Drosophila melanogaster: one gene and its partners. The protein of the gene in region 1 interacts with the protein of each later gene in a pairwise test. Each region holds a gene or a part of one and is shown in the gene's direction. Other genes may lie near its edges.

Region 1 (7,210 bases):
GAGCTAAATAAGTAATGCGGGGGGTTTGCGGCCAAAGAGAAGTTAAATTGTAGTTAGAGGTGGATGGATTAATACCCTAGGATGGCATTTAGGGCAAGGATCAGACGAAAAGGGCGCGTAGCATTACACCTTTTACATTAAACGACGATACGATGCCGCGCATCCAATTTGAAACTGTACGTATTGAATTTATGTTTAGTGTCTGCAGCATGCGGGGGATGTGAAGGAAGGAAGGAGGGAAGAAAAAGGATCGACGGGCGAAGAGCTAAATACATTTAAGGGTTAGATTTTCTGCGAAAGGACTGAAGTTAAGGCAACGTAGCGTTTAAATGCAAAATTGAATTGAATTGAATTGATGACGAAACCGAGTGTTATGGATAATGGAGCGTGCGCGAATGCGATTGGTGACGAAAATTACTTGTTTTAAGGCTGGACTTATGTAATTTCGAGCAAAAACGATAGTAGCGAAACAAAAACATGTAAAATGCAGATATAATATTTTTATAATTAAAACAAAGGTACCCCCACCCCACTACCCTTATCTTAATATGTTTAATTCAACTGCAATTATCGTTAAAGACGTATTTACTGTTTGTGATCCAAATTCATTGATTAAACGTAAACTACACAAAGATACAATTGTTGCATGGGCAAGGTTTGAAGTCCGGGTTCGCAAAGTACCCACAAGTACTCGATCCCCGGGTCTCAAAGACGAGGAAATCACGAGTCAATAAGCCAGGTTTAAAACTTGCAGGTGCGTCGTCAATGGCTCGCAATATTTTCCGGTCGGGCCAAATCCGAAAATGGCCTGCCCGAAAATTATACACACCTTACAGGACCGAGTGTTAAGAGTACTTTTGGACTCTCTGCGAACCCATAGAAATAGAGCAGGAACAGTAAATTGTACTTAATTGAAAAATGATATAATAAAACACCGCCACTTTGAAATATATTTACTTGAATCAAATAATATTAATGAGTATATATAACTTTGTACTTGAATAATATTTTATTTATATTTACCTTAAGTCAATAAAAATTCTAATAAATTATAATCACCCAAAAATGCATTTTGTTCAAATGTCGAGGGGAGTTCTTTTCAACTGCTGATTGGAAAATTGATGCCTTTTATTATTGATATTTGCGAATACTGATTGACAAGCTGCGAACCTTGAGTAAACGTATTCTTCCCAAAAATAAAATATAAAATAAATAAAGAAGGCTAATAAGTTTCATAGTGGGGTGTAAATTAAACAATTCAAAAGAACCGCCCAACTGTGGTTTATAAGCTTGGCGCACTACGCCAAGTAAAATACATGTAGAAAACGTGACGGCGTTGCCACTCTTATTGTATTTAGCTAGTTTAACCACCAAATAAACAGCGAAGTTCTCAACCATATGTGAGTTGCGTAGCCATACTACATTTGAAGCAAAAAACCCTAGTGTCGCTGCCGTCTTGTGGTATTTTCGTTGGCCCGAAAAACGGTCCTACCAAAATGGTACCTCCGGCCACACGGATGAATTCGTCGTCATTCGTCGGAATCATTCGAACTTTGAAAATGGATCGGTAGCTGGGAAGGAAACTTAAAGCGAAATACGCAAAGAAAACGGCTTTTGTCCGCTATTCAGCGATTTTTTTTGTGTTGTAATCAGCAGAGGAAATTTTAACGACCAACTCCACCGCCACACCAGCCATCTCCAGCAGCTCCGGAAAATAAAATAGAACTAAATTAACGCCTCCATCACTACAACAACCATCTCACCAACAACTACAAGAGCAACAACCACAGCAACAGCACTACTGCACCAAGCCCACAAAGAAGAGGTGAAACGCAAAAATCGCAATACCCGAAGAAAAAAACAAAAAATATCGCAGATAACCGAAAAAAGCGGTGCAAATAGATAAACCCCATTTTTTGCTTGAGCTTTTTTCGCCTGTGTGATGAGAGAAATCAGCAGCAGCCATCGATTACAACAACAACAGCAGCCACACCAACGACGACTCAACCACCAAACCAAGAATAAATAAACAGCGGAGAGCGATAGATAGAGAGAGAGAGAGAGAGGAGCATCTGCAGCAGAATTGAATCAGTTTTTTCATCAACCGCCGCATTGTATTAAAAACACAAAAATCCCATAGGCGGCCACCATTTTGATTTTGAATGAACTGAACGAGAAGAGAGGAAAGAGCACGAGAGACTGAGAAAAACTGCTGCTCATTTGTTGCACCGTAAACCCTTTTTCCAGCTTGTAAGCACTCTGCCTGTCTCACTCTAATCGCGTCCAGGAGCACCGTACAGTAACAACAACAGCAACAACATGGTGGAGCCCAAGTCCGGGACAGCTGCTTCTGCCGCTGCTGCGAAAGCAAGCAACAACAATAACAACAACCACCCCCGTGGATCTGGGGACAGCGGCATCCGGAGTGGCAGCGGCATTTCCTGCAGCAACACGGACAACAGCTGCAGCCAGAGTCAGTCAGGTGAGCAATTTGAGTTTCTAGAACTCTGGGAGTTTGACACTAAATTCCCATAGCTGAGAAGCAAACTGTGATGCATGAGATATATTTTGGAAACCTTCTGAAGAGATTTCGCATATTTGCGCTTCGTGTGTCACCAGTTTAATTTTAACTAGACAACATGTTAACAGAATGATGAAATAATTGCAAATATTTGCTCTGACTGTGAATTTGGCAGCTCTTTCGTATAAATTTGAACTTCTACCTATTGGAAATTCACCTGTATCTCTGTCGTAATATTGTTGTATTGCCTAAATATAAAGTATATTTCGTAGGCAACAGTTATTTGCATGCCAAAAGAAAACAAAAGCCTTATTTAAGCATATAATTATTATTTTGAGAATGTGACAAACGTTCTTTGCTTCTTAAAGTTGTACCTATAAAATACGATTTGTAGGATATTTCTGCTAAAATGCAATGGTAAAAAAAAGATATACGTTAATGTAATATTTTGTATCGGAAGTTATACTTCCTCTAAAGTTCCTAACCATATGTATGTATTATTCTGCTTGTCATTGGGTGGGGACTGACTACCAATCAGAGAAAAGACCCGACCATTGCTCCTACGCTTTCATTCAGTGGATTTCTAGTCAGTTATCGGCAAAGCTGGGCCAGGCAGCACTTTCGTTTCGTTTACCCTTGCTAATCAATCGAACGAACTAGGGAGCATTGACTGACTGGGCCACGTTGCGCACCGGGTGCCGCAGTGTATTTCCTTGACGTCACACGATGTTCGAGAACATGCATGCTGTCTGCCTGCCGGCGCCCAACCCCACCACCCACTCCGCTTCCCTTCACCCACCCCGCACAGTCTGTGTGGTGTTTACAGTTGTTTTGTTTCGCCAAGAGAACCCCATTGCATCATTCGACTGGGGCCATTAAGCTGAATATAAGTGTGTATGTGCCCTAATTTTAGGGGTATTCCAGCATCTGGACTTTATAACCATCACTGGGGGTGTTATTATTGTACACAAGTTCTTAATTATATGTGGGATTTGATATATGCTATAAAATAACAATGACAAAGATCAACTAAATCCACTAATTAGTCATATTCTAACTGGAGGTTAAACTAGAAGTTTGTTGTTTTCGTTTAGATAGTGATTATAGTCCATACTTTGTGTTTATCAAAGATAATCTTATGAAACAGGACAGATTGTTGTGTAAATATGCTAGATACGGTTGGGTTGGACCACTGACATCCACTAATTCCACTAATATCCTATAAAATCGGGCATAAGTGAGCTGCTTTGAAAAATCATGAAATCCATATGGGTAAACTGCTGTACAATAGGAATATATTCACACATACATATGTAGATTTCAGCACCAATAGTTACCCTTTGTAATTAGACCAGTTGACTGGTATAAATTCGCATAATATGATTATCAATTTAAGCAATACTAGATTCCAAGCACAAAAGGGTATTCCTTTTCCCTGCCATTCCACCAACACCACCAAAGCTGCCGGCGAAGTGAGAGAGACGGCACTAGTATCTGTGCCAGCTAGCCGAGACCGAGAAATTGAAATTGAGCGTGTGCAGGCAGTTATGGAAATGGAAAATGACTCATGATGGCTGATCGATTGAGCGTAATGCACTGACACTCGTGTTCAAATGCGTATTCGTGCCCAAAATGCAGCGAACGCGGCGAAATGTGAACAAACTACGATTATAACCTTCATGACGTTTATTGCACTTGGTGTGACGTTCGTTGCTTGGCCTCCCACACATATAAAATGTGTGCGCCCATTAGGAGTTGTGCTGGAGTGGATTTTGCAGCTGCAATCAACTGAGTGCAAAACGCTGTCAATTGGAGCCCACCAGCTGGAAACTTGTTTTCCCCCCAACGATCCATAATAATTTTCCATAATTATCGAGAAGTTTTTCATTCTATCGAGGCCTATCGATAGGAGGACATCTAGTGGTGCCTACGTGCAGCCTCCTCCGATTCATGAAATCAGCCCAATATATCTCTGTCTCCCTTGCTCGTTTGCGCAAAAGCCCTGAGAGAGAAATTTATTTTTTAGCTGTGGCAATGCCGCAGTGGAAAAAACGTCAGCTGAGGCATATGTGTTGTTTACTGTGCAAAACGAAAACAAAGCAAGTTAAATGTAGTTTTTGTTTTGCTGTTTGCCCTTTCCACTTGTTTGCTTTTAAACAGAACTCGCGCACATCACACCACCTTCATTGGTATGCATTGGCATTGGTGTTGGAGTCTGTCTCTCTCCCTCGCACCTCTGCTCCACGTCTTTCACGACATTTTCTCGGGCATCGCGCTCTCACACTCCAAAACGTACAAAAACAATGAAACAGGGCTCTCTCTGCACTGAAAGAAAAATAACTTGTTTACTTCAAATTAGCTAAATATGAAAACATTAGGCTGTTCAGTGAAATACGTTTAGTTTATGTGCCACTGTAAAACTATGCTCTAACCGTTAAAAATCAATCATATGCCACAACCATATTTCTTCCTGTGTACTCTCTTTTTACAAGAACTTAATTGCATCATGTAACGCTCTCCCGCACCGGTCTCTTCCTGTGCCGCTCTCTTAAACTTTAGTCTCTCTCTTTCGACCGCTTCTCGGTTTGTCGCTTTGTTATTGTTTTTCCTGTTGCTGTTTTTGTTTTGCTTGCGGCGTGTCGGACACAACCACAAAGCGACTTTTTGTCAAAACTGGTTCTGTGTCCAATATGATGTGGCTTTATCGCCGCTCTCTTTCCGCCGCCGATGCGTTGGTGTGCGTGGGCTTATTGGCCAGGTTGTGTGATAACACAGGTATCGGTGGAGGTACAGGTATCAGTATCGGTTACCTCCTTAATCTGGCCTAAACTAGTGTGTCAATATTTACACCCCTCGAAAGACAAGAACTCGATCGGCAAACACATAGCTAATGTTTTCTCTTTGCCATCGAGATCTCAGCAAATATGAGTTTGTATCGACCAACTAACTTGACTCGATGAATTGACATGGCCGGTAATTGTTGTGCATTCGATTTGAAACCGGATTTTTGCAACCAGAGGCGTTTCTCTTCCGGGCTGCTTTTTTAATTTGAGTGTAAGCAAAAAGATTGACTTATTGTTTTTGTTGTCCTATGACGAACGACACTCGCAATTATTGAGCAGGCTTCTAACTACGTACATATCTATGCTTGTACATATGTATGTACAAAGTATGTTTATCGCTACCCTTGCAAACAGCGCATTATAAACATATACATACATATCTATTTGTTACAACTCTCGCTCTCGTTTCGGCCGCTCTCTTCGCTCGCCGCCCACCGCTCTTTTTTCGCTCTTCGCGCACCGCGGTAGTTTGGTTTTCAGTTTTTGTCGCTCCCCCGAAAGCGGGCGCGTGTTTGAATTCGATTCTTTCCTCGTTGGCGCCGCGCGACGTAGGTCCGCAAAGATTTGTCCGTGTTTTTCCATTTCTTTCAAATTCATTTTTTTGGCCAATTGGTTTTTGTCGCCGGTACTAATCTCACATAAACGCGAAATAAATCTAATTCGAAATTCCCGGCCATTTGATCTGAACAATTTTCCCTGTGCTTCCAATAATAACAATCATTCAGCAGTAAATTGTCGTTTTCGTTTTCGTCGGTCGAAAAGGGAAAAGTGTACTTCAAATCGATGATGATCCAACCGGAATAGGGTTAAAATTAGCCCAACATCGTAATTAAACAAACAACTAATTCGAAACTAAAGCAATACCATATCGACGGGGAGCAATATATATCGAAGGCAGGCGGTTTTATCTACGCATTGCAAAAAACGTGCCGCCCAGAAGAAGAACAAGCAGCAGAACGGGCGTTGCTTAGACAAATTGCGTTGCGATTAAAAGGCGAACAGCAGCAGCAGCAACAACATCAGCGGCAAAAGGCAGCAAACATGTTAGGTAAATACAGCAACAACAACGATAGCAACAAAGTCTAGGAACGAGATGAGATGAGAGAACTGTCGCACACACTCAGCCCTGCTCACTCACACCCACATAACGTGATGGGCATGTGCATCTGTATGTGAGGGGAAACGTTTCGAAATGCCGGTTTTTGCATTTTTGTTATTGTTTTAGTTCCAAGTTTCCTCTACATTTTACAGGCTGCTAAAAGCAATTACATTTTAGGCTTATCTTTAAACAACTGATTTTTAATTTAAAAATTAAAGTAACTAAAACGACCTTGTATGCATATAATAACTATGGTAATATATTCCCATTTGGTTATTCTCTAATTTAATTCCTCATCTTATTTTTTATTGTCATACCTTATGTTCTGGTTCTCTCGCCGTTTTCATACATTTTTTCGCTTTTACAATTTCATTTGCTGCGCAATAATTTTCTGCTTCTTTACAGCACACAAACACAGGCGTGCAGATAACGTTCGTGTGTGATGTGTGCAAGAGTGTTAGTGTCTCTGCCTGCCCGTGAATTCATGGTGTCAGGAGAAGAAGGTGGTTTAAGAAAAAAAAGAGTGAGTTGTTGGGGTGGCATCTCTTCAGCATTCTAGACCATTCGCAAGGGAACGTGTAAATAACATGTATATGAAATGTTTAATTAATTTGCGGAGTTACAAAAGAATTCTTTTAACTGATTAAAGTGTGTTTTTAGATGTAGGCTGAATAAAATGTTAACGAAATCTAAATTTTTGAAATTCCAATTAAAATATTTGCATTTTTAATTGAACAATATTAATAT
Region 2 (10,610 bases), on another chromosome or scaffold:
GTGTTGCCGATGCGGACACCAGCATTAAGACAGCGAGGACCGCAGTAAGTTCCCGAAGTGCCAGCTACGATAACGGAATAGACTACGACGCCCTGTACGAGGAGGAGGAAGAGACGGACCTCAGTATGGAGGCGCACGGATCGATGATTACGCACTTGCTGTCCCAGGTTAAAATCGGCATGGACCTCACGAAAGTGGTACTGCCCACGTTTATTCTGGAGCGCCGCTCGCTCCTGGAAATGTACGCCGATTACTTTGCTCATCCCGATCTGTTTATAAAGTATGGTCAAGTTCAAGGCGTTATATCAGTAATATAACTCATAAGCATCTTACCCAATAGAATATCGGATCTGGATGATCCACGCGACAGAATCGTCCAGGTCTGCCGCTGGTATATGAGTGCTTACCATGCTGGGCGCAAGAGTGCGGTGGCCAAGAAGCCGTACAATCCAATTTTGGGAGAAGTATTTCAGTGCCATTGGGACATTCCTGGTAGGCAATGCAAAACTAGCTACTGTAGACCACCACTTACGCGTTTTCCTTGATATTAGGCATATCCCAAGACGCTCAGGAGGTACGCGACGGTCCAGTGCCTTGGTGCAGGCGGGATCAACTCACCTTTTTAGCTGAGCAAGTGTCTCACCATCCGCCAAGTAATACAAAGAAAAAAACAAGACTTTATTACCTCTATCACTTACGCATTTATTTGTTTCAGTTTCTGCCTTCTATGCGGAGCATTATAATAAAAAAATAACATTTGCGGCCCATGTATGGACCAAGTCGAAGTTCTTGGGACTCTCCATTGGAGTTCATAACATTGGTGAGGGTGTTGTGACCCTGGTGGATCGCAGCGAGGAGTACATAGTGACCTTCCCCAACGGCTACGGCAGGTGAGAACGTGTCTGTGGTATTTCCGGTTACAAACAACTGAAGACTATTTCCATTACCAAGGTCTATTCTTACGGTGCCTTGGATTGAGCTCGGCGGTTCGGTGGAGATCAAGTGTCCACAGTCTGGATACTATGCCAACGTGGAGTTCCTCACCAAGCCATTCTATGGCGGCAAACGGAACAGGGTCTCGGCAGAGGTGACTAGCTCTGAATGTGTACATTTGTTTTCTTTTATTAATTCGGATAATCCATAGGTCTATGCGCCGAGCGAAAAGAAGCCTTTCGTCTCTATTACGGGCGAGTGGAGTGGTTTGATGGAGGCCAAGTGGCATGATAAAAACGTAAGTCGTCCAAAATATGTTTGGTTTATGTTTGTAGTGTACTATTATATATTGTTTCTGTAAATGTTGATCCTTTACTTGTACTTTTTCCTCCGCATACTGCGCCAAAACGCTGCAACAAACAACCCCACGAGTTGGCAGCCACATCCACCCTTCACACCCCAACTAGACCTCTACTTACTATCCACGATTCTTCTGCTTTTCTCTTAAATAGCTCGGGAGCATTTCCTCTGTGTGTTTACTTTGTTTGTCTAGAAAATCGAACCCACAAATTAATCCTATGCCTGATTGTCCAACGTTGTATTCAAATTGTTGCTATCTGTACTTATATATGATTGCTGTGTGTTTAATATTACACCCAATCCCAATCAGTTGACCACATAGTGAATCTGAATGAATCTCTTGAATTTTCTAGAAAACCGAAGTATTCGTCGACGTAAATCGCATACCCATATTTAAGAAACAAGTTCGACCAATCGTTGAGCAGGATGAGTACGAATCGCGACGCGTTTGGAAGGAAGTGACAGCGGGACTCAAGTAAACAGCATACCAATTAATTCCTGACCCCCAATTGCGAGTCATGATAAATGTAATCTCTTTGTTCGTTGCTCTTCCACAGGTTCAATGACATCGAGCGCGCTACAACTGCCAAATTCGTTGTGGAGCAACAGCAGCGTGATCAAGCCAAGGTGCGCAAGGAATACGATCTGGCCTGGGAGCACAAGGTACGTCATCCCGATATAGGGTAAAACAGTTAACAGATAATATTCGTTCACAGCACTTTAAGCCCGTGGGCGACAACTGGATCTACGCCAAGCCGCTGAGTCAGCGCATGTATCTGCAGGAGAAGGAGGCCAAGAGATAATGCCTCCGACTGACAACGAGAGCAACAACACCAAAAACGTCTATATATATGGATCATATCAAGAACGAGCCTCAACTATATGTTTAATTCCACAAGTGCGCAAACCTCTCAACACTGACGATACAACGTAACGAATGCAGGAAAAGTTAGAGCAACAACTGAACTGGCAGAAGGAGATCCATGATGGAGGCTCCAGGGTCTGGTTATTAATTGTAAATAATATACACAGAGAAAAAGAAAGGAGTAAAGCTCTGCTCATTAGGTTGGAACGCGAGTCAAGCTCGACAGCTCAGCGGAGACAGAAAAATCAAACACTCACAGTTTCTATACAGAATTAACGATTATTATTTACTACTAAGTACTAGTGTGTTTCAAAGGCAATCGCAGTAAACTGCAACACAATGACACCTATTCAATACCTTTTACATTACTAACATTTACTAACTAGCAACAAAGAAAGAAATCCAATACATAATGGGATATATCAAAAGTTGTAGATTACAAAATGATAGTTACTTAAGGATAATAGAGATTCTATTTTTGAAATAAAAGACTCTGCTATAGACGAAATACAATACCGACACGCTAGTATCCGACAGATACTGCACCCTCGCTTCTTTCCAAGACCACAGGACAGACACACGGACATAGAACACACGGTGCACAATGATTTTCCAGTCGCATAGCTTATAAATCAAATACGATTACCTTTAGTATTATGTTTCGAATTCCACTTGTCACAATAATAACAATAAAGCTTTACCAAGAGTCCGCTGGTGACACACCTTTACACCTTACTGCAATAGAACCCAATTGAAAACCGAACTCCTAGACACGTTGAATAATAGACATTAAATTTAATTTATAACTTTATAACTTACGAGCCAGGAAGCAACACCACCCACACAGCAAATCTACCGACTACTCTCACGCAAAGTTAACGCAAAATGAAACGAATAAAGTAAATACGCTTCGAAATTGATTTAAAGTAATATTTAACGAACTAGTTACCCCGTAGAATAAAAGAATTGTAATCCCAATGGCATTAATTGGAACTTATATCCAAGCCCGGGGAAACTTGTATATATTTTTGCGATTTTCTTTTTAACCAACGTGTTAATTGAGAAATTGAGCTACTCCCAAGCAGATACAAATATTGCAAATAAAGCGATTTGTTCTTTAAGCAGTTTTAATGGATTTTGGATTTCGGGCTTACGAACATTTAAGCTCATATCATTAACAGAGTTATATATAATATACATTGCTTGTCTTCACTTAATAAACATTGCGTTAAGTTTTAAATTTGAATTGTTACAAAAATAATGTTACCATTGGTATCGATAACATTTTATTTGCAATCGATAGGCGACCCAGAGCACTGTCATCTCTTTTTTAAAACCAACGGTCACACTATTGACGTGGCCTCAAAATTTTTTGTTCTCCGGAAAATGCAAAAAGTTTGCATTTAAGTTAATTGTGCATAGCAGCGTACGACGCCAAGTCCAAAGAATCCGCCTGCCAATATAGGACGTGTTCGCATCCATCCGGAGCACGCGAGGAGCGCTTGAAATCGTGTAAGAAAGAAACTAGTGCGGAAGGAAGTTTTGGGAGTGGAGAGAGCGTAGGGAAGTGCGAAAATCGTTTAATTTTCGTTCGCGGAGAAAAATCCAGCCAAGGATTTCACAAAAGACCAGAACAAAGAGTACAACCAGTGGTTTTTACAGCTGCATCCGCCCTTTCCTCACAACGAAAGGCGGAAAAGCTAATTCATAGTCCGCAGCAAAATCGCCAATCAAGGGCGCAAGAAGAAGAGGCAACTACAAAGTGCAAGTGCTGGCCGAGGAACTTCATGCCAATGAAAACTGAAGCTCGGGAAGGTGATAAGTGATTGGTAACCGTGTTATGGGCACTACATATGCCTTGATTGCCCCAATTTCTTTGAGTGGGTGGTGGGCGTGGCGGGTTGACTTCGCCAATAGGCACGTCATCAAAAATTTGCTTTGTTCCGGAGACAAATCCTTTCTCTTCCTGATTGCTTCCACTGCATCTGGGTCACCAATTTAACCGACCCACCTTCTGCGATCATTGATGGCGAGGTCAAGTGCTTGAGGCACGCACACTTACACGTTGTACATCACATAATAACCCATAACGACCTGCTGTCGAAGCTGTTTAAACAGCAAAATATGATATGAAATTATCACCCTATTTCCGACTTACTGTTGACGTAGACACAGTTCTGTAAACACTGAATCAAGACATTTACCTAGGCAGCCAGTCTAGCTTAAAAGTTTGTGATAAAGCTCCAATAACGCAGAATTTCGCATTCCATTCGATCACTGCAAATTCTAAACTGTCTGTAAGCGGGGAAAAGCATCCCGCTTTAAAACTTTACAACTTTTATCAGCCGCACATTGTTTCATGTTACGCGCTTTTTAACATTGAACGATAAGATAATTCCCTGTTTCATGTCGGCAGCAACGCAACCTTCGCTAGTGATAAGATAGCAACTAAACAAAATGTAATTCTTCATCTTTCAGACCACAAACCTATGAATTAGCAGCATGTCGACTTACAATCCGAACTTCGTGCCTCCCGCCCACGCCCCTATGCCACTGAACGGAAACAATTTTGTGAATGGTGTGCAAGGAAGCGTCCAGCAGCAGCCAGGTCCTCCACCTGGTCAGCAGTATATACCACAGAAGCAGCCACAACAGTTCCAGCAACCACCTCCTGCAGCAGCTTTTCCGGGAGCAGGAGCGCCAGGTAATGTGCCACCGCCGCAGCAGTTCAACAGTGGTATTACGAACCAGTTCTTGCCGCCCACGTCAGGAGCAGCTACACCTCTGCAGCAACTGCCGCCCAGCACGCTGCCGCCCCATCTGCGTCCGCCCGCCGCCAACGGACCACCCCTTACGAACGGCAGCAATGGGGCGTCCAGTGCGAACTCTTCGCGCACTGCATCCCCAAGGCCAGTAGGAGCTGCCCCTCAATATGCTCAAGGACCAATCGCTGCAGCGTTGAACAATCCGCCCCTGGCGTCGGGACTGCGTCCTTCGCCCCAACCGACGCACCAATCTCTGGCCAACTTGACGAGCAATCTGGAAAATCTTAACTTGAATACCACTCGAGCAAATGGAGGTACCAGCATTTTGCCACAACCCCAAACCCAGCAACAGTACGCACCCACAGTAACACAAAAGGATGGCAGGGGAGTGGCCTCGGCCCAGACGGGTCCACCGCAGTTCAACGACGCCAACAGTCTGTTGGCGGCCAGCGGAGTGGCCGCTGCACTAGTTCCCAATGCCATGGCGACGCCGTTTAGTGGACAAAAGCCCCCCAATTTGGCTCCAAATCCGGCCAAAATGTTCGGAAGCGCCTCGATGGCCGGTAGACCAACACCAGCGGGGCAACGAATCCCATACGGAGTACCCCCACCAACTAACCCCGAGCAGCAGAGCCAGCAAAACAACAATCTACAGAATGCACCGCCGCCACCAAGAGTAGGAGCGGTATGGCCGCCGAGCTTACCAAATGTAGCGGCGCCGGGAGCCCAGCCCATGATGCCGCCAGCCCAGCAGACACCACAGACGTATCCATACTCCCAGGTTTATCAACCAGGACCACAGCAACAGCCACCACCTCCTCAGTCTGCAGTGCAGCCACCGCCGCCGGGAATGTTCGGAACGCAACCGACTGGAGCTCCACTGCAGTATCAGGCACAGGCGCCTCCTCAGGCTTACGGACAACATCCTCAGCAAGCACCCCAGACTGCACCCGGGGGACCTTATGGAACCACTGCTCCACTAAACGTGGCTCAGCAGGGATTCAGCAGATTGTGGGGACAGGATACTATCGACCTTATGCAGAATCGGCATATCTTAACGCCGGCAACGTTGCCTCCGCCAAAAGTGGTTTTGCACAACCAGTTTCACGAGTCCATAAACTGTAGCCCGAGCATTATGCGCTGTACGCTGACCAAGATTCCCGAGAGCAACTCTCTGCTCCAGAAGTCACGTCTGCCTCTGGGCATTGTGATACATCCCTTCCGTGATGTCAATGTAAGAATTTTATTGAAAATAATTTGATATAAAAGACTTTAACTTGGAATTCCTCACACAGAGCCTCCCTGTTATTCAGTGCATCAACATTGTGCGTTGCCGGCTGTGCCGCACTTACATAAATCCCTTCGTTTACTTCGTGGACAGCAAGATGTGGAAGTGCAATCTGTGTTATCGAGTCAACGAATGTAATTGAAAAGAGTTCCCAGCATATAATGGATTTAGTAATCCAATGTTTCTTTCTTCGTGCAGTGCCAGATGACTTTCAATTTGATCCGGCCACAAAGACATACGGCGACGTAACCCGAAGGCCCGAGGTACGCTCTAGCACCATAGAGTTTATTGCTCCTTCGGAGTACATGTTGCGGCCGCCACAGCCGGCCATGTACCTGTTTCTCTTCGATGTCTCGATAATCGCGCAGCAGAGTGGTTATCTGGAGGCCGCATGCGCCGTACTCAACCGGCACTTAGACGAGATGCCCGGTGATGCGAGGACCCAGGTGGGATTCATTTGCTTCGACAGCTTCGTGCACTTCTACAGCATGGCCGAGGGGCTCAACCAGCCGCACGAAATGACGCTGCTGGACATCGAGGACCCCTTCCTGCCACGTCCTGATAGTTTGCTGGTAAACCTAAAGGAGTGCAAGGAACTGGTGCGTGATCTATTAAAGCAACTGCCTAAGCGGTTTGCCCACACCCACGATCCGGGTTCCGCCTTGGGTGCTGCTCTGCAGGTTGCTTTCAAGCTAATGGTGAGTTGAGCTATTCAAAATTAAAGAGGAACCTTAATCATCGTGAATACTGTATACAGCAAGCGTCCGGCGGACGGATAACCGTCTTTCAATCGTGCCTTCCCAACAAGGGACCCGGAGCCTTGGAGCCGCGCGAAGATCCCAACAACCGCTCGGCAAAGGACGTGGCCCACCTTAACCCGGCAACCGACTTCTACAAGCGCTTTGCCCTAGAGTGCTCCGGCTATCAAATAGCTTGTGACCTCTTCCTGATGAACCAGCAGTACAGCGACATGGCAACCATTTGTAAGTGACTCTTAGTAATGTAAATTCAAACTGCCTTTTTGCATTAAGTTCTCTTACGAGTAATAGAGCACCGTTAACTTATTGGAGTTTCAATTTCCCTATAGCTGGCATTAGCAAACATAGCGGCGGCTGTGTACACCACTTCCCGCTCTACCAGAAGACAAAGCCACACATGGTAGAATCGTTCCGCTCGTGTTTCAAGCGCTATCTTACCAGGAAAATTGGATTTGAGGCGGTAATGCGAATCCGCTGCACTCGTGGCTTGCAGGTGCATACATTCCATGGAAACTTCTTCGTGCGCTCCACGGACCTGCTCTCGTTGCCAAACGTGAATCCGGATGCTGGATATGGCATGCAGATCTCCTACGAGGAGAGCCTCACGGACGCGAAAACGATTTGCTTCCAAGCTGCGCTGCTCTATACGAACAGCGAAGGAGAGCGCCGAATCCGTGTGCACACCGTGTGTTTGCCGGTTACCGCTTCGCTCCCAGAGGTAATGCATTCAGCCGACACGGAAGCTATTATCGGGCTGCTGTCGAAAATGGCGGTTGACCGGTCGGTCGCCTCCAACTTGTCGGACGCCCGCGATGCATTCATAAACGCTACGATCGACGTGTACAATGCCTTCAAGATAGCACAAAATCTGCCATCGGGACAGTCGGGTCAGCTGATAGCGCCGCGCAGCCTGGCGTTGCTCCCGCTCTACATCTTGGCCCTGCTTAAGCACGTGAGTTTTTTGCATATGATCTTAGTTATCACAGCTTATTTCGGTTTTCCACTAGCCCGCTTTCCGTGTGGGAACTAGCACACGACTGGATGATCGGGTCTACGCCATGGATTGCATGAAAACGCTACCGCTGGACCAGCTAATGAAGTACGTGTACCCGGAGCTGTACAAGATCGATGCGTTGATCTACCACGCCCGCAACTCGAACATTAGTTCGAACCAGGATGACGACGAGGACGAGGATGAACCGTTGCCGGAGCTGCCGCGTCTTCAATTGTCCGCGGAACAGTGAGTAGAGTTGATTTATTTTTGACCTTCGATAACGAACGCTTTAACTTCAGCTTGGACTCTCGGTCAATATTTCTGATGGACTGCGGAACGCTGATAATGATCTATGTCGGCCTTAATGTGCCGCCCGATGTTTTGGAAGCTGTTCTGGGTATGATCTTAAAACCCAACCAATTTGTGTTACTAATCTGTTTCTAATTTCAGGCATCAGCTCCACCGCAGAACTGGGTGATTATGTATATGGATTGCCAAATGTTGTGAGCAACGAGAACGATGTGCTGAAGCGTTTTATTTTGCGACTCAACTACGATAAGCCCTACTCGGCGCTGGTGCAGATAATTAGGTAAGTCGGACCACTATTAAAATATTCATAATACCTTGCTAATTATTTTATCTTAAATTAAAGGGACACGAGCACGGCCAAGGGCCAGTTCACCGAGAGATTAACCGACGATCGCAGTGAATCTAGTTTGTCATACTATGAATTTTTGCAACACATTCGGGCTCAGGTTAAATAGTATATAAGCAGGATATCCTACCACTATTGTATGCAGCATAAATACGAGTTTCTAAGAACCTAAAAACTCAGACTCTGGTGACTAGAAGCACGAAGCGAATGCAGGTGACACTGGTGCGAAACAATGGAGACCAGTTCGGGACAGACATACACTTGATACACCTTAACCACCCATCCCCTACCCACTCTCTCGGCTTAGGTAATTTTAAAGTGCATGTATTTATTTATTTGTTGATTTGTTGCACTAAAAATAAAATAAAATAATTGAAGATCATAGTAAATGCGAAAGAGCCAACTTGTCACAACAGAAACTAAGATATCGTTGCCAGTTCGTTTAGGGCGAACATTAGTCAAAAGTTCAGCTAACCAGTCAGTAGAGCTCCCGAAGAAGTGGATGGCTCCGTTATTTATTATAGAAACTATGCAATAAACCAACGAAACTGTTGTACATTATGCTTTAGCTCGATTTTTGTTCGTTCCAACTGCTTCAAACATTCTGCAAACTTCTCAGCCCCACAAATTGTTATCGCTTACCCCAATTGTTTGCTGTTTTCAGTAGTATTTATTTTCCGGAATCCAGAGAAATCTATATTTATTTATAAGTGTAAGGAAAGGCGTTTTGTTGCACTGTAGTTAGCGAACTTATTTCAAACGTATGTACGGATTTGGTATTGTGTATTGCATTCATTGGACTGCTAGGCAGTGAATGTCTTAAGCTTAGAAGGAATATTATACTGTATCAATAAAGAGACCCCATCCCTGTACCTCAGGTGGCGCAGTTGTCGTTCTTTGAGTGGGCTAACTAATCGAAAAACCATATACAAATACTGTACCATACTTTATACACATACGAGTACATCAAGATATAAAGCGAAATAAATTTTAATTAAATCATAAGGCAATGCGTTTTATTTTCATATGTACAGGCACATCTGTTGTTCCCAATATATCCCAATTTAGTTTTGGGAAAGACCTTAATTAAATTAACAATCATTTACAATGGATAGATGATGGCGCATAAGACTCAATAAATCGGTCAGCCCTTCGCAAGACATATCCTGGTTCTATGTTCCTCTACATAAAACAGTTGTCAGCGCCTAGCCAGAGATTCCTGCAAAAATATCAACTTTAATAATGGACAAATATAAATTGGGTATCTGGACTTACGGATTGAAGAAGGGGGAGCGCGGCGGATACTTCCTCTTTGGTGGAGGACACAAGATGGGATCCAGCTTATAATCGTTTGTTGTGTCTAGACTTCTGGGAGAGTAGTGCTGCCAATCTAAGGACTTCTCATCTGGTTGGTAGCCATCGGTCGCGTGCTCAATCTTCACGTGTACCTTGAGATGATCCTGGAGGAGGAATACCTTGTCGCAGAGCTGGCATTGAAAGTGTCCCTCTGTGTTGGGCACATGGGCTTCATGGTATCTTTTATAGTGCTGGTGCAGTTCCAGCGAGGATCGCATCGTGCGCCCGCATATATCGCATGTTTGACCAGTGCTCACAGGCTGCGGAAAGTGGGTGGGGAGGTGTTCGTCCAGCTTCTCAGTGGCATCAAAAGTCTGCTCGCACAGCAGACAGGAAAGTTGCACTTCAGCCAACGCCGTTTCCATTATCTATTTATTTCACATGCAACTTGTTTATTTTTATGTTAGCTTAAGAATATACGAATGGAAACTCTCTATATTTTCAATTCATCAACATATGAACTACTCGCATTACGGTTCCTCGCTCTCGTTCTTTTACTCCGTTATTTACACGTCTTTCTTTTCATTCAACATCCAGTCTATTCGATGCGCACTTAAAAGTCACAAGTGTTCCATTCGGTTACAAGAAATCAACTGTTCTTTTCGTTCTCCTCATACTCATTGTGAAAACAGGAGA
Region 3 (6,482 bases), on another chromosome or scaffold:
TCATGGACGCGGCACCATTTTCTCCAGCTTTTCCGTTTGCCCTGTCCATATGTGTGTGTGTGTGTGTGTGTGTGGGCTTGGTGATTTCGGCCTATTTGTATACAAAAGGCAGTCAATTTCTGCCAGCTTGAGGAAACTTTTTAAGTCAATTGTCAAAAAGTTCTTAACATCTTTTCCCCAGCCACGCCCCACTTTTGTGGACTCGGTATGGCTCTGTTTCTGTTTCATTTTCGCTGCCAAAATTGAAATATAATTCGGTAAAGTTGCGCCTCTTTTCGGTTCGGCTTTTCCACTTAGACGACGTTTGGATTTGGGCCATAAATCAATGCCAGGCGAAAGGCGTTCGACTGAAATTGATTTAGAATGCGTGGAATGGGCGTAACTTCTTACGGTCGTCAGTCAAGCTTCTGCACTAAAAACAGTCCGAAATGCCAGTGCATTTTATAGTTTGGCTGCAAATCACTTTTCAAACTCTTTGACACGCAGAAAAATATGTCACACTTTCATAAAGCTAAGAAGGAAAAGGCATGATATATTTTAAAACCTATGTAAACAGAATTATATGGCATTATTAAATGCAAAAACAAGAAGACTATTTACTTTAACGATTTTTTCCCATTAGAAAAATATATCCAACTTAACTCACAGAAGAAAGCACCTTTAATAGATCACAGCTGAAATTGTGATTATCATAAAATCAGCATAGAATGATTGCCAACCGGTTTTATAGCAATAACCAGCGATTATGCTAAAAGACATCTCCGTCAGACTCGAAGTCAAATCCATCGAGCATCCAAGATGATCAACTATAGCGGTTTTGCATATTTGATGCACTTGGCATAAACTTAATAAACTTTGCCCCCAGTTACAGGTTATAAACCCGGCGCACCAAACTCGTAAAGATGGAAGCGCGTTAAAGTCACTGAGCCACAACTCGTTGTTTTATGACCAACTCGATGAACTTGCCGCTCCCCCCGTTTGCCATTTCCATCTGGTTTTGTCTAAGCATCTGCCATCATTCTGGCTTTTGTTGCACCATTTTTCACTATTAACAGTAGCCATAAAAGTAGCGTTTGCGCCAATAAAACTTTTGACATGTGGGGCAGGAGGGTTTCCTTAACGTTTTTTTTTCTTACTTCTAGCCGGGCCAGGTGTTACCTTCAACCTTTGCACCTGAGCTTCTCCAGTTGCGTCTGCTGGTCCTGCATCTCCACTTGTCATTTGCCACTGTGGCCCCAGCTACTTGCTACTTGCCACTTGCGCATTTAATTAAGTTTACGCCGCGCTGCACACGCAAAAGGACGAAGGACGTTATTAATTAAATTCCTTTATACACAGGTTAAGCCAGCCATCCCCTCCACCACCTTTCGCCTTTGTGTGTCAACAATTGGAATATTAACGAGGCAACTAATGAAAGTTTACAAAGCCGGAGTCTTTTCCGCCGAAACAAATCGAAAGGGAAACATTTAATAAAAGTCGCACTCACCGATTTTCCGCCCGAGATCAAAGCAATTGCTAGACCAGTTCCCCTAGCACCACTTGACCCACACGGCGGATGCGTGATTTTCGCTACCAATTATAGTGGATCGTCTTGGGAGCCTTTTTGCAGTGTCTGCGTGCAAATCCCGCCGCGTTGATGCACTGCGGCAAAGGTTTCGGACCCCTAATAAGCCACGACCTTAACGGACTCACACATCAAAGCAAGAGCACGCACACCCACTTACACACTGGCTTATAAGCCCCAGACACGCAGACATATGCAAAAAGGATATGTATTAACTGTACGCATTTAAGCCGCTTGTCGAACGCGCACAAATCCAGAAGGGGAAAATCGACTTTTATTCAATACACTCGAAAAATCAACTTTGGCAGATAAAAAACGAGAAGATGAAAACGAGACAGCAGGATGGACCGGAAAAACGGGGTTTTCGAGGAGTGGGGCTACAATATGCGAGTATAAATGTGCAAATCCCCAATGCAGCAACAGCTGCTGCTCAGCCACGCCCCCTTTCGACCCCCCTCCCCGCCTTCAGTGCACTCGTTTGGCATTTACATTTAAGCTGATAAGGAAAAGTGCCTGCTCCTCGGGGTCCCTTGGTTTACCGCCTCCTGCACCCCAAAATCCACCTGAGCGCCAAGTCGCCTCGAAGGGCGCACACACACACACACACACAAGCACATCGAAGACGGCGATGAGAATTGTTTGTTGAAAATGTCGCCAGTTTATGAAATCGCGTGCGTTGGCAGCAAGGAATTCACATTTGACGCACGCACTTTACATTATTAATGCCTAAAGACGAAGGCGGCAGAAACAAGTTCAAGTTTTAGGCTAAAAAAACGGGAATCGAGAAAGAAATACCCTTTTGAAAGTAACCAAAATTCATTTGATATATAACACAAAAGAAGATATAGTTGTTACATTTTGAACAAATGGGAAATTATAGTTTAAGTCAATAAGTCAATCCATGCAGATTCATAACCTATATTTCATATCTTCGATAATTCTTATATACCTTTTATATCAAAAGTTACATGGAGTAGGTGAGTAGTGCTGTGTGCGTGCTTGTGTGCGTAGAGAAGCATCGATGTTTTGGAAAATGCTCCTGCCATTTCGCAAATGTATCGCATTTCCGTTTGGGTGTTTGCACTTTTACGCTTCGCTGAGAATTTTCCAATTTTTGCTGCTAATATTTATTAATCAAGTAATAGCTACTCACACGCAGGCACACACTACGTGTATGAACACTTGAGCTTGTGCCTGTGTGTGAGTGTGAGGTCGCTTGATTTTTGCACGAAAAATTGATTGGAAATTTATAAGCTAAACTTTTTCCACTGTTTGCTTTTGTTTGCGGCCCACGAAACAAACTTTTTTGGTGTGCGCGGTTGTGTTTTGTTACTTTTTTTTTTGTTTTTGTACCATTGCTGCCATTTGCAGCACTTGAAAAGGTCGCCACAAATGGAAGTGAGTGTGTGTGGAAAATCCCCATCAGAAAAATATTGAAATTCGATTTTTTTTTTCGTACTCTCAGTAACCTTTTACCAGGTCCCCAGCTGTCTGTCAAAGCCTCGCCATGAGGCAGGAAGCATTTCGAATTATTTTCAGTACAAACTTTGTGCCGAGCACACCTAGAACCCACTCCAATCAAATAAAGTAAGTTCAAATTGTAACTATTCTGGTGGAAAAAAATCTACAATAAATATTCAACTCTGAGAATATTTGTGGTCACTTTTCACTTTTTCAACTCAACTGTCTTCCACAGCGCTGCCTATCATGCAATACAAGATGAACTACTTGCTGATCCTTGGGTGTAAGTATACGTTAGTTTTCAGTACCATCTAGCATGCAATTATTTATAATTAATTGCGTGTATTTCAAACGCATCCATTGTTTTGCTTAAGGTGTCCTCATGTTGATGCGGCCGATGTACGGCGATTGTCTGCGCATGAAGCGTTCTCAAGGCGATACTGCAAGTGATTATAATGAAACCACTACAATGGACAATACTGCTTCACTGAGCGGAAAAGCCACCGTGTTGGCCAATAGTACCATTACCACCGCTAACATGACTGAAGCCGCCACATCTCCGGAGCAGAAGATTACTGCTGGACCGGTGCGCAGTATGGGAGTTCGTGGAAAAACCACTAGCTCCACAACCACCACCGCATTATCATCATCACTTGCTGCTGTGGCATCCACATCCTCGCCTCCGGATGCCGGAAAATTTCAGCTAGTGGAGGATCTGCTGGGACTGCGCCGTCCCAAGAGGCGTTTGGGTAGCCTGATGGACGACAGTCTGCAGCCACGACAATTGCACCACAAGCGTCGCCCAGCGGTGGAAGCTGCTGCTATGGCCACCTCATTGCCACCCAACCCTAATCCCAATCTTAATCCCAATCCCAATCCCAATTCCAATCCCTACGTGTACTACAACAAGCTGGTTTCGCCAGATGGCAAGCACGAGATAAAGGAGTTCGAGCTGCTGGCGCCCAACATGATGATTGAGAGTGTGCAGCAGGAGCTGAACTACGGTCCGGAAGTTCTGCCACCGGAATTGGCCGGAGTGCTACTGCTGAATGCAGCCGAGAACACTCCACGCGGACTTCATAATGCAGCACCACTGAAGCACCATCGCAAGCATAAATCCTCGCCGGCTGTGCCACCGATGCTCTACATGCTGCAACAGCTGTTGCAGCCCAATTTCGAGGGAAATCTCTTGCTGGAACCACCAAAGGAGCCACAGCGTCACGTTAGTTCACCCCTCTATCAATTCCTTGATGGCGCCATGGATCTGGCTTTGCGCAACAATCCCGATGTCATCGATCACCTGCTGGGCGATCACCTAGAATTGGAGCTGGAGATGGAAAAAAAGAAGGGCATCAAGGATAAGGCACTAACGAAGAAGGCCAAGAAGGAGGCACAGAAGATGGAACCCAAGGAGGAGCTCATCGTCAGCTGTCCCATTCACCATGAGCACCATGCCAATCGTAATGGCGACGTGGTCGAAGATGATGTCGTTTTGGTGAACGAGTGCCATCTAGTGTGAACCTGAAACGGGCAGCTGTCACAATGTTTCTTAAAAATTTTAGGTTACTTGTTTTTCCGCATTCTTTTTTTTATTTTTTGTTGCTTCAACTGGAAGATGTTTATATTTCTTGCATATGTAAGGAGTGGCGAGACCATTTTTACTTTGTATACAAAAAACAGACAATAAAAACTAAATACACATCATAATAACTATGTTCAGCGGAAGAATATAAAAAATCAAGCTCGAAAGTTGCAATATAATCCTTCGGGAATGCCATCATCGAGCAGAATGGCCATTGTTCCGCCCGTAACAAATATCAAACTTACGCTCCAATCGACACCCGATCCCCTGGGTGGCCTTCTCCTTGAAGTTCTCCTTCGTTTTCATTAACAAAATCGATTTCCTACCTTGAAATGTCCTGAGGGGAGAGGTGGATGAGCGGGAAAATTGATATGCCGAGTGCGACAGTGCAGCCAAACGAGCAAACAAATCTAACATACAAACCCTTGACTGCGGATGAGAATATATCCTCCATTTATAGCAATACATGTGTGTGTGTGTATGGGTGTAGGGGTGGGACATAGCGAACGGAGCCGAAAGGCAAAAGTTTTGCCGGCTGCCACTGCTAAATGCTGCTAATTTCGTATACAATAAAACTAATGTAAATTGCCACTTGACGTTCACTGGGCGTGTAAGTGTGTGCCATAGTATGTGCAAGTGTACTGGCTGCACATACATAGACATTAAATGGGGCACATAATGTGCCGGGAGTCAGGAATCGAGAATCAGAATTCAGGCTTCAGGACTGGGAACACCAGGGAAAGGCAAGCCATTGAAATAGCGAGTGTCATGGGTGCCTGGCCATCAGCATAAATACAAATTTGCTTCACAAATCCACGTATATAATCTATATAAACTGCACTAGATGCCAGCAGTACATCTACATGTGCCAAGCGGAAAAGTGCAACGCAGCATTCGTAAAATTGCGTAGCTCCTTCGACTTCAAGATACATTTGGAAAAATAGAAAGAATGGAATAAGATTGCACAATAATTATATTTGGAGAGTGGTATAAAGATTTAATTATTTAATTAAATATTTATAGTGTTTCATACGTTAACAGACATAAAAATATAATAATTAAAGGACGTACTTGCTTATTTCTAGGAATTTAACATTTATATAATAATTTCTAGTACACTCAAAAAATATCTTATATTTGTTATAGATATAAAAGTAAGGCAAACATTATTTCTCTCTCTGTGGTGGCACTGCCAATGTCCCTGGGGTGTTAACTGGAGTGTAAATGCGAATGTATGTGCAATTCCCGCTGCTAAGTGACCAGGCCCCCTCCAACATAGACCCTCGCACACATATATATTTATTTACAAGTGTAAATAATAAATGCTTGCATCAGCCATTCCGCATTCCACTCAACTCCAAGGTCCTGTCAGCACTGCAAGTGCATTAACTTTTGCCACACTTTCGTCACCAATGCCATTTTCGCTTTAAGTTGACATCTGCGTAAATAGCTTTAAGTTGCGTACAATACAAATATAAATATAAATATAAATATAAATTTCGAGAAAGGCAGGCGGCGACCACTTTCGCTAATCTCTTTGCTTTTGAAATTTATGGCTTCATTATGAGGATGACAAAGACGAGCGTTGCCAGGACATTGCCAGGACTCTTCTGTCAGTCACTCGCTCTGTCTGGCTGTCGGTCTTTCGGTGCCTTTGTTGTTAATGTTATGGTTGTCATTTGGAAGCTTGTAATTACGTTAGCCACAAGTTGTTGCCAAAAGTTGTAATCTAGATTTCATAGTCAAAAGGCGACAGGCAACAACATAAAATTCAATTGAACTGTTGAGTCAGCAAATATCAAATGAATGGCAATGGTGCCTTTAAAATGCCGTTAAAGTCATGGCCCAAGTATCAGGAATCTGCTCAGTAATATA
Region 4 (6,453 bases), on another chromosome or scaffold:
TTCGACACATTAACCTAATTGGCCTTTCCCACTCAGCTGCTTGCTTTCCTGGCTAATAAATTGTTTTGAGATTACACGGATACTTAAAAGCGTATCTCAGCATTTTCATCTTCGGCACAACAACTTTTCGAATTTACCATTTGGCTCTCGCAAAAGGTAAGCAACTGTGAGTCGAGTGGGAGTGGGAATGGGAATGGTAGTCTAAACCTAATCCTTTGAAATGGTTTTTTAATGTGTGGGCCCTGGCGATGGTTCAGTGCCTCTACCTTGTCTCCGAATGGGATTAAATGTTTTTCGGGCGGGAAGCGAACTTTTGGGTTCGGGCCGTCGTCGGGCTATTAACACCTTGGCTTATTGTTAATTAGGCCCGCTTGCTAACTGATATAATCCCCGCAGGCTCGTCCTGTGGGCCAAACTTGATTTGTCATCTCGGTTAATTACTGGTTTCGAGAGCGACTGCTAAGACATTAATAGCATTAATTAACTGATGGCTCCGGGCACAGCCCATTCAGACACTCAACGACTGTCGAAAGGGGATCCAGCCTGGGGGGCCTGGAATCGATGGCATTTGAGCCAAGGCAATGGTTAATTGGAGCTGATTTAATGGTCTGGATGGAAGCTGGTGTCAGTCTTAAAGTCTCGGCTTGTTGTGCGGAGTATTAAATGCCTTCTGCGGATGGTATTTTAATATCCGTTCGCTTCACCCTCGCCAAGTCCCAGCTTAAATACCTGCACATTCCGTTTACAAGATTTCTGCTGTCTTACCAAAATCCCCCACCACTTTTCGGCGGTAAGCAGATATGACAATCACAAAGTGCTCCAAACCATGAGCTGAGCGAAAACAGAATGTCATAAAAATATACACTTGTGCCACTTGGGCCATACTCGCATACTCGTACGCACAAAGGAACACACTATGTGTGTAATCCAGGAGCCGGGCAGCAATAAGACAGGTCCTCCTAGGTTCCATAAGCCAGATTCCCGATGCTGGGATAATGGAGGCGAAAGACGCGTCGGAGCAGACAAAATAAAATCACATTTTCGGAGCCAGAGCATTTATGATCCATTATGCTCTCAACTAGGGGCTCCGGCTTTGTTTTCGCCCATAAGAAAATGACTGGGAATGAATGGGGGCTTGGGGCATTGGCCACAAGGTCAGAGCGTGGCAGAGTGATGTATACATTCAAGAGCACTTTATCGCCTGGTGGCTATTATTTGACTATAATTTTAGTTATATCTGAGGAGCTCATGAGCACAGGTGCTGCGACATCATGACAACAGAGAGAGCTTCTTTCAAAATCGAAATATGCAAATAGGTTTTAAAGAACTTATGGCCGGAACGAGGGCTTTAACATATTTACCCCGGACTGGTTGGAGAATTTCATATATAACCAGACCCAGACCGACATTCCGGTGCAAATATGCACCATGTTGTCACAGGGCATTGTGGGTAAAATAAGTTAAATAAAATAAAATCGAGTATGCATGTGCATGTGTGCTTGATCAAATTGCAGTCACTTGTCGGCGTGGGTGTGTGGGTGTGTTTATTGTTGACACATTTTGAGACGTACCCTGCAATATGGATATCAAGTGCGAATGCCATGGCTCGGCACTAGAGAAAGTACAAAACACGTCGTGGAGGTGAAAGTTGGACCAACTGCGATGATAATACGCCATCTGATGCACCAGGGGGGCGTGGCACTCGAGAATAAAAACGCTTAAGTGGTTCAATGTCTATGGAGGCACCCATCAACCATCCAGACCGCCCAACCACCCACTTTGACGTTGATTGTTGAGCGATAAGAGCGTTGGCTTAATGACACTTGGCCCGGCACTCTTAGCCCGGTCGGGATGTCCTTCAGCTGACGTCCTCGTTGGCGGCTGAGTGGGGGCCATTAATGCATCGGATTAACCCAACCATATGCAGATATGAGTATATCCCCCGTCGAAGCTCGTCTATCCTTCAATCGTGCTGTGCCGCAGACAATCGCATTAATCATTTAATTGTGACCGCAAAAGCCCTACCATATTAACAATCAATTAATTCTATGCGAATAGATTTTTTAATGTGCATTGTTTTTATCTGCACTCGAATATGGGCACCATATGTTATTGATATTGTTTAATCCGATTTAAAAAGGGACTGAATCGACCAGCGCCCTGCCTTTGATTTAATACACGGCCTCGGATGAGTAAAAAATACACAAATATTATAAATTAAAAGGCCGTGCAAATCAGTGGTTTCTATTGTTATTACTTTGCATTGCTGCTCCATTTATCCACACTTTGTCGCACAGTCATTCAAGTGCCACGGCCACTAATTGTCCATCCTGCCAACGGTTGAACGGACTTAAAAACACCGATTGCATTGACAAAAAGTGTCAAAACCATTTCATGGCCCATTTAACCAGCGATTACAACAAGCCAAAAGCGCGGAAAATAAAGCCAAATCCGGATGCAGCAAATGAGCAACAAATAATGAAGCTCTTAAATATGTGGACATGGGGACACAATAGTATTCAATAGTATTCAGTTAAAGTAGCTAACTGGCCAAAAAACAATGGGAATTAGAAGTGCAGTGAAGTTACAATGGCTGATGTGAAGTTCGCTTTTAATGACGTGCATATTTGCTGATTTTAATTTAATCACTAATTACACGAATGCAAGTTTGCATTTATGAGGCCACCGCAGTGTTAATTCCGTTCAAAATAGTTGAAAATAATTAAATTGAGCTTCATAGTTTAGTACTTTACATATGTACGCATACGTATGTGCGCCTCATTATACATCGAATTAATAATTGATGCCGAAATGTGCAATTTCACGTTGTTTTCCACATCAAAGCATATTCAGACGCGCCGCGGCACGCACTTTATGTTCCAGTTAGTTATAGTTTATAAAAACGCATATGGCAGATAATTAAGTGGGCTCACGCTCTAATCCAGATGGCTTCTCGCAGTTATAGTTTTCAATCCAGGTGACCTATGCCAGTTAGTTCGACCCATCCCCTCCAAATCCAATCAGTCAAACATTTCTTACCACACACGTACAACCCGAACCCCGCTTAGTCATTTCAAATTCAAGTATATAGACTACATTGATTTTGGAAGAGTTAGCCACAATGTTCATCCGCGGAGATGCGCCACAAGCTTCCCGGGGCAAAATTCCCCAGATCCCCAGCTCCATGACGCCCTATGTGGCGGCAGTGAAGCGCGGACCCTACACAATGACCAATCCGGTGTACAACACCCACAATCCCAACCTGGTGGGCTTGGATGGCCAGGTGGAGGATTCCCGGCCCAAGCACACCTTTAATGTGAAGAGGCAAGAGCTGGAGAATAACTACCGGCACCACCAGCGGCTGATCCCCGTGCCCACTTCCCGGAGGACGATGCCCAAGATCCGATCCCACATAGTGATGAACGAGCAGCGGGAGCTGTATCGCCAGCACCGCGATCGAATGTCCAACATCAAGGGCAAGGTCAACACCTATCTGCCGCCCCCGAAGGTGCAGATCGAGGGAAATGGCATGGAGCTCTCCTACATGGAGATGCTGACCGCACTCTACAAGAAGAGCAACAACACGCTGCGGACCTTCACCAAGTCGCCGGAGCGCCTGGCAGCCGGCAGGTGGCGCAATGCCAACTTGGCCCGGGAGAAGGAGCGCCGCCAACTGGAGAAGAACAAGGAGTTCCACAAGGGAGGCGAGCTGTTTGACCCAGAGGCGGGCAAGTCAAAGCGGTACAAGCCCAAGTCCTCGGGCTCCTTCAGCTGCGAGATTCCCATGCACGTGCTCCATCGCTACGAGAACTTGATGGACCAATGCGACGTGGGCGTTCTGTGCAAGCTGCTGCGTCCGCAGATCTACCTGGACATCGAGGTGCGGGAAGCCCGCATCCAGGGCAGGCTGATCATCCAGCTCTTCACCGAGGCCTGTCCGCAGGTGGTGCTGGAGTTCATGAGGATCTGCACCCAGAACAACAGTAGCGCCATCGTATTCAACCGCGCCCTGGCGCCCATTTGGATGGAGGGACGACTGGCCATGGATCCGCAGAGAAGCACCGAGCTGACCAACATCGAGCACGACTTCGAGGTGCTGAACCACGGAGTGGACGCCGGAATCCTCTCCTTTCCCAGTCGCTATGTCAGGGGAAACGCCCGGACTGCCGTCAACTTCACCATCAGCTTTAAGCCCCTGTCCATTCTCAACGGCAGGAGAATCGCCTTCGGGAAGGTTCGCAAGGGCATGCAGCTCCTGGAGAGGATTCAGGTGGCCGTCGGACACCTGCCCATGAGCCACAACTTGATCTCGCTGACGGACTGTGGAGTGATCTGAGAGGTGTAAAATTTCCAGTAGATAGTTGGGATCTACTCATAACTTTTCGAAGAAAATTAATTAGGATCAATTGCTAGGCGGAAATCTATATTCTTATTCTTAAGCCATGTCACCCCACTTAAAGCTGCTGTAAACCACAAGTAAATGATTAATGTGCATAGATACATAGATACGAGATACACTTGTGCATTCATTCCAAGTATCTTGAATATGGGTTTGATGGATCACAATCCCTTTGGATATGCTGTTTCCTCCTTCATATATATATACTTCGATATTTCAGTTTTCCGTTTGAATCAGGCGAAGCAAGTCACAAAGCATTATACACTTTTTCTAGAATTCAGTAAGTTTGCTCACTTCAACTTCTTTACGGAATCGATTCATTCTGTACTAGGTAATCCTCGACATGTATATGGTTTGTGACGGATTGAACAGCCCCAGGCTGCAGGGAGGAAAGGAAGCGGAAGCGGATGGGAGTCAGTGGCCGTTTCCGGACAAGTACCACATGAGGAACACCCGGATCCTTCAGGTGTCAAAGGCTCAAATCAGCGAGGTGCCCATGGAGGTATTCGAGGCAGCTCAGCAGGAGCTAGTGAATATCGTGAGCTTGGATGGCAACAGGTTGCTCGAGATGCCCAAAGATCTGCCCTTGCTCTCCGAGCACCTCACCCAGTTGGTCCTGAACAAAAACCAGATCTCCTTCGTTCCCACCAACATCTCGCAGTACTCGAAGTTGACTAACCTGAGCCTCTCCAACAATCTTCTGTGCGACTTGCCCATGGAGTTGGGCGGACTGCGGCTGCTCCGCAATCTGGACATCTCCCACAATCGCTTCCGCCAGTTGCCACGCTGCATCTACGAGCTAGAGAGACTGGAAACCTTGTCGGCCCACGACAACCAGATCCGTGCCATCGATGCTAGTGAATCGGGCCTGGGCGGAATGCGGGAACTGAAGAGATTGAACTTGGGAAACAATGACATCCAAATAGTGCCGCCGATCTTGGGCAAAATGCAGAATCTCGTGGAATTGGAGCTGTGGGGAAATCCCTTCCGCCAGCCCCGCCACCAGATTCTATCGATGGGGACTCCGGCGCTGCTCAGCTACTTGCGCACCCGCATTCCTATATAAATCATATATTATTTATTATTAATTCAAATCAAATTTCAAAGTATTGCCAAATAAATTGACAGCAGTGCAGTTTAGCCCCTAATTCCGTAGTTTTGCTTAAATCGTGCTCATGGAAGATTCCTCACCAAAGATTCCTCCTTGGGTAAGTTTCTGGCAGCCTGAGTTTGCTGAACTCGTAATGATAGTAAGCTCTGATTCCTGCGTCATCAAATCAAATAGGTCAAAACCTAGTTGGCTGGGAAGAGGACACTACTATACTCACTACTAGTTACATTTGCGAAGCCCGAAAATGTCCAGAAGTTCGAGGTTATCAGTAACTGAAACTCAGCGCAAAAGCACTCCAGTGGTAAAGAAGGCGGTTATGTAAGTTGGAACACGAAATCGTCAACAGCAACAGACCCCTTGACCTGCTCCGCATTTGTCCATCTCCCTAGTCGCAGTCGATCCTACGATGGGGATGCGTTCGTCAATCTCTTCGCCCATCGCGGCGCCCGAGACATCATGATCTTGGATAGCCATGGAGTGCCCCTCCGATCCACCTGCAGTCAGAGACGCACCTTCGTGTTCGTCTCTAACCTGAAGCCGCTGCTCTTCATGGCCCGCAACGTGGTCAGGGATCTGGACCCCTCGAACGACATAACCTTCATGCGGATTCGCTCCAATATGGGCGAAATCCACATGACCCTGGGCACGGACTTCATTTTGATCGTTGTGCAGAAGCTGAGGAGGCTCAGGAGCAGCTCAACATCATAAAACATTTCCGGTCGCTGTGCGTGTGTGTGTGCGGATGTTAATTGTACTGTATCCATATTCCACCCAAATTAAATTGCATGCAATTGCGGCAAATGAGCAAAGGTCACAGTGGATTGGGCGGAAAATTGTAAAATTTAGGAAAAGCCCAGCGAGACCAGAGCAAACTAATCCGTTTATGCAGCGCTTGCAATCCGGAAAACGCATCAAAGCGGCAATTAGTGCAGCCTCGGATGCG

What was found.
Region 2: the proteins of Lk6 (region 1) and Sec24AB interact in a two-hybrid assay, tested with the Drosophila melanogaster proteins (one large-scale study listed by BioGRID).
Region 3: the proteins of Lk6 (region 1) and CG15109 interact in a two-hybrid assay, tested with the Drosophila melanogaster proteins (one large-scale study listed by BioGRID).
Region 4: the proteins of Lk6 (region 1) and CG3492 interact in a two-hybrid assay, tested with the Drosophila melanogaster proteins (one large-scale study listed by BioGRID).

The regions. Positions count from the first base shown.
Region 1 is NT_033777.3:11,758,756-11,765,965, reverse strand, and holds the start of Lk6 (Lk6 kinase), read left to right. Parts: upstream 1-1,508; 5' UTR 1,509-2,319; coding exon 2,320-2,482; intron 2,483-5,886; exon of another isoform or gene 5,887-6,405; coding exon of another isoform or gene 6,406-6,412; intron 6,413-7,210.
Region 2 is NT_033778.4:9,875,243-9,885,852, reverse strand, and holds Sec24AB (secretory 24AB), read left to right. Parts: upstream 1-3,495; 5' UTR 3,496-3,670; exon of another isoform or gene 3,671-4,457; intron 4,458-4,636; 5' UTR 4,637-4,660; coding exon 4,661-6,157; intron 6,158-6,218; coding exon 6,219-6,345; intron 6,346-6,409; coding exon 6,410-6,909; intron 6,910-6,968; coding exon 6,969-7,194; intron 7,195-7,298; coding exon 7,299-7,921; intron 7,922-7,976; coding exon 7,977-8,209; intron 8,210-8,262; coding exon 8,263-8,360; intron 8,361-8,413; coding exon 8,414-8,552; intron 8,553-8,615; coding exon 8,616-8,727; 3' UTR 8,728-9,621; downstream 9,622-10,610. Other genes in the region: CG1513 (uncharacterized protein), read left to right, coding at 1-280, 341-492, 552-653, 716-890, 952-1,087, 1,145-1,231, 1,647-1,768, 1,851-1,956 and 1 more; CG12744 (uncharacterized protein), read right to left, coding at 9,801-9,837, 9,894-10,339.
Region 3 is NT_033778.4:19,056,336-19,062,817, forward strand, and holds CG15109 (uncharacterized protein), read left to right. Parts: upstream 1-3,085; 5' UTR 3,086-3,151; intron 3,152-3,260; 5' UTR 3,261-3,283; coding exon 3,284-3,308; exon of another isoform or gene 3,309-3,399; coding exon 3,400-4,544; 3' UTR 4,545-4,730; downstream 4,731-6,482.
Region 4 is NT_033778.4:24,469,717-24,476,169, forward strand, and holds CG3492 (uncharacterized protein), read left to right. Parts: upstream 1-2,995; 5' UTR 2,996-3,121; coding exon 3,122-4,336; 3' UTR 4,337-4,510; downstream 4,511-6,453. Other genes in the region: CG3494 (uncharacterized protein), read left to right, coding at 4,743-5,465; CG16837 (uncharacterized protein), read left to right, coding at 5,755-5,828, 5,900-6,218.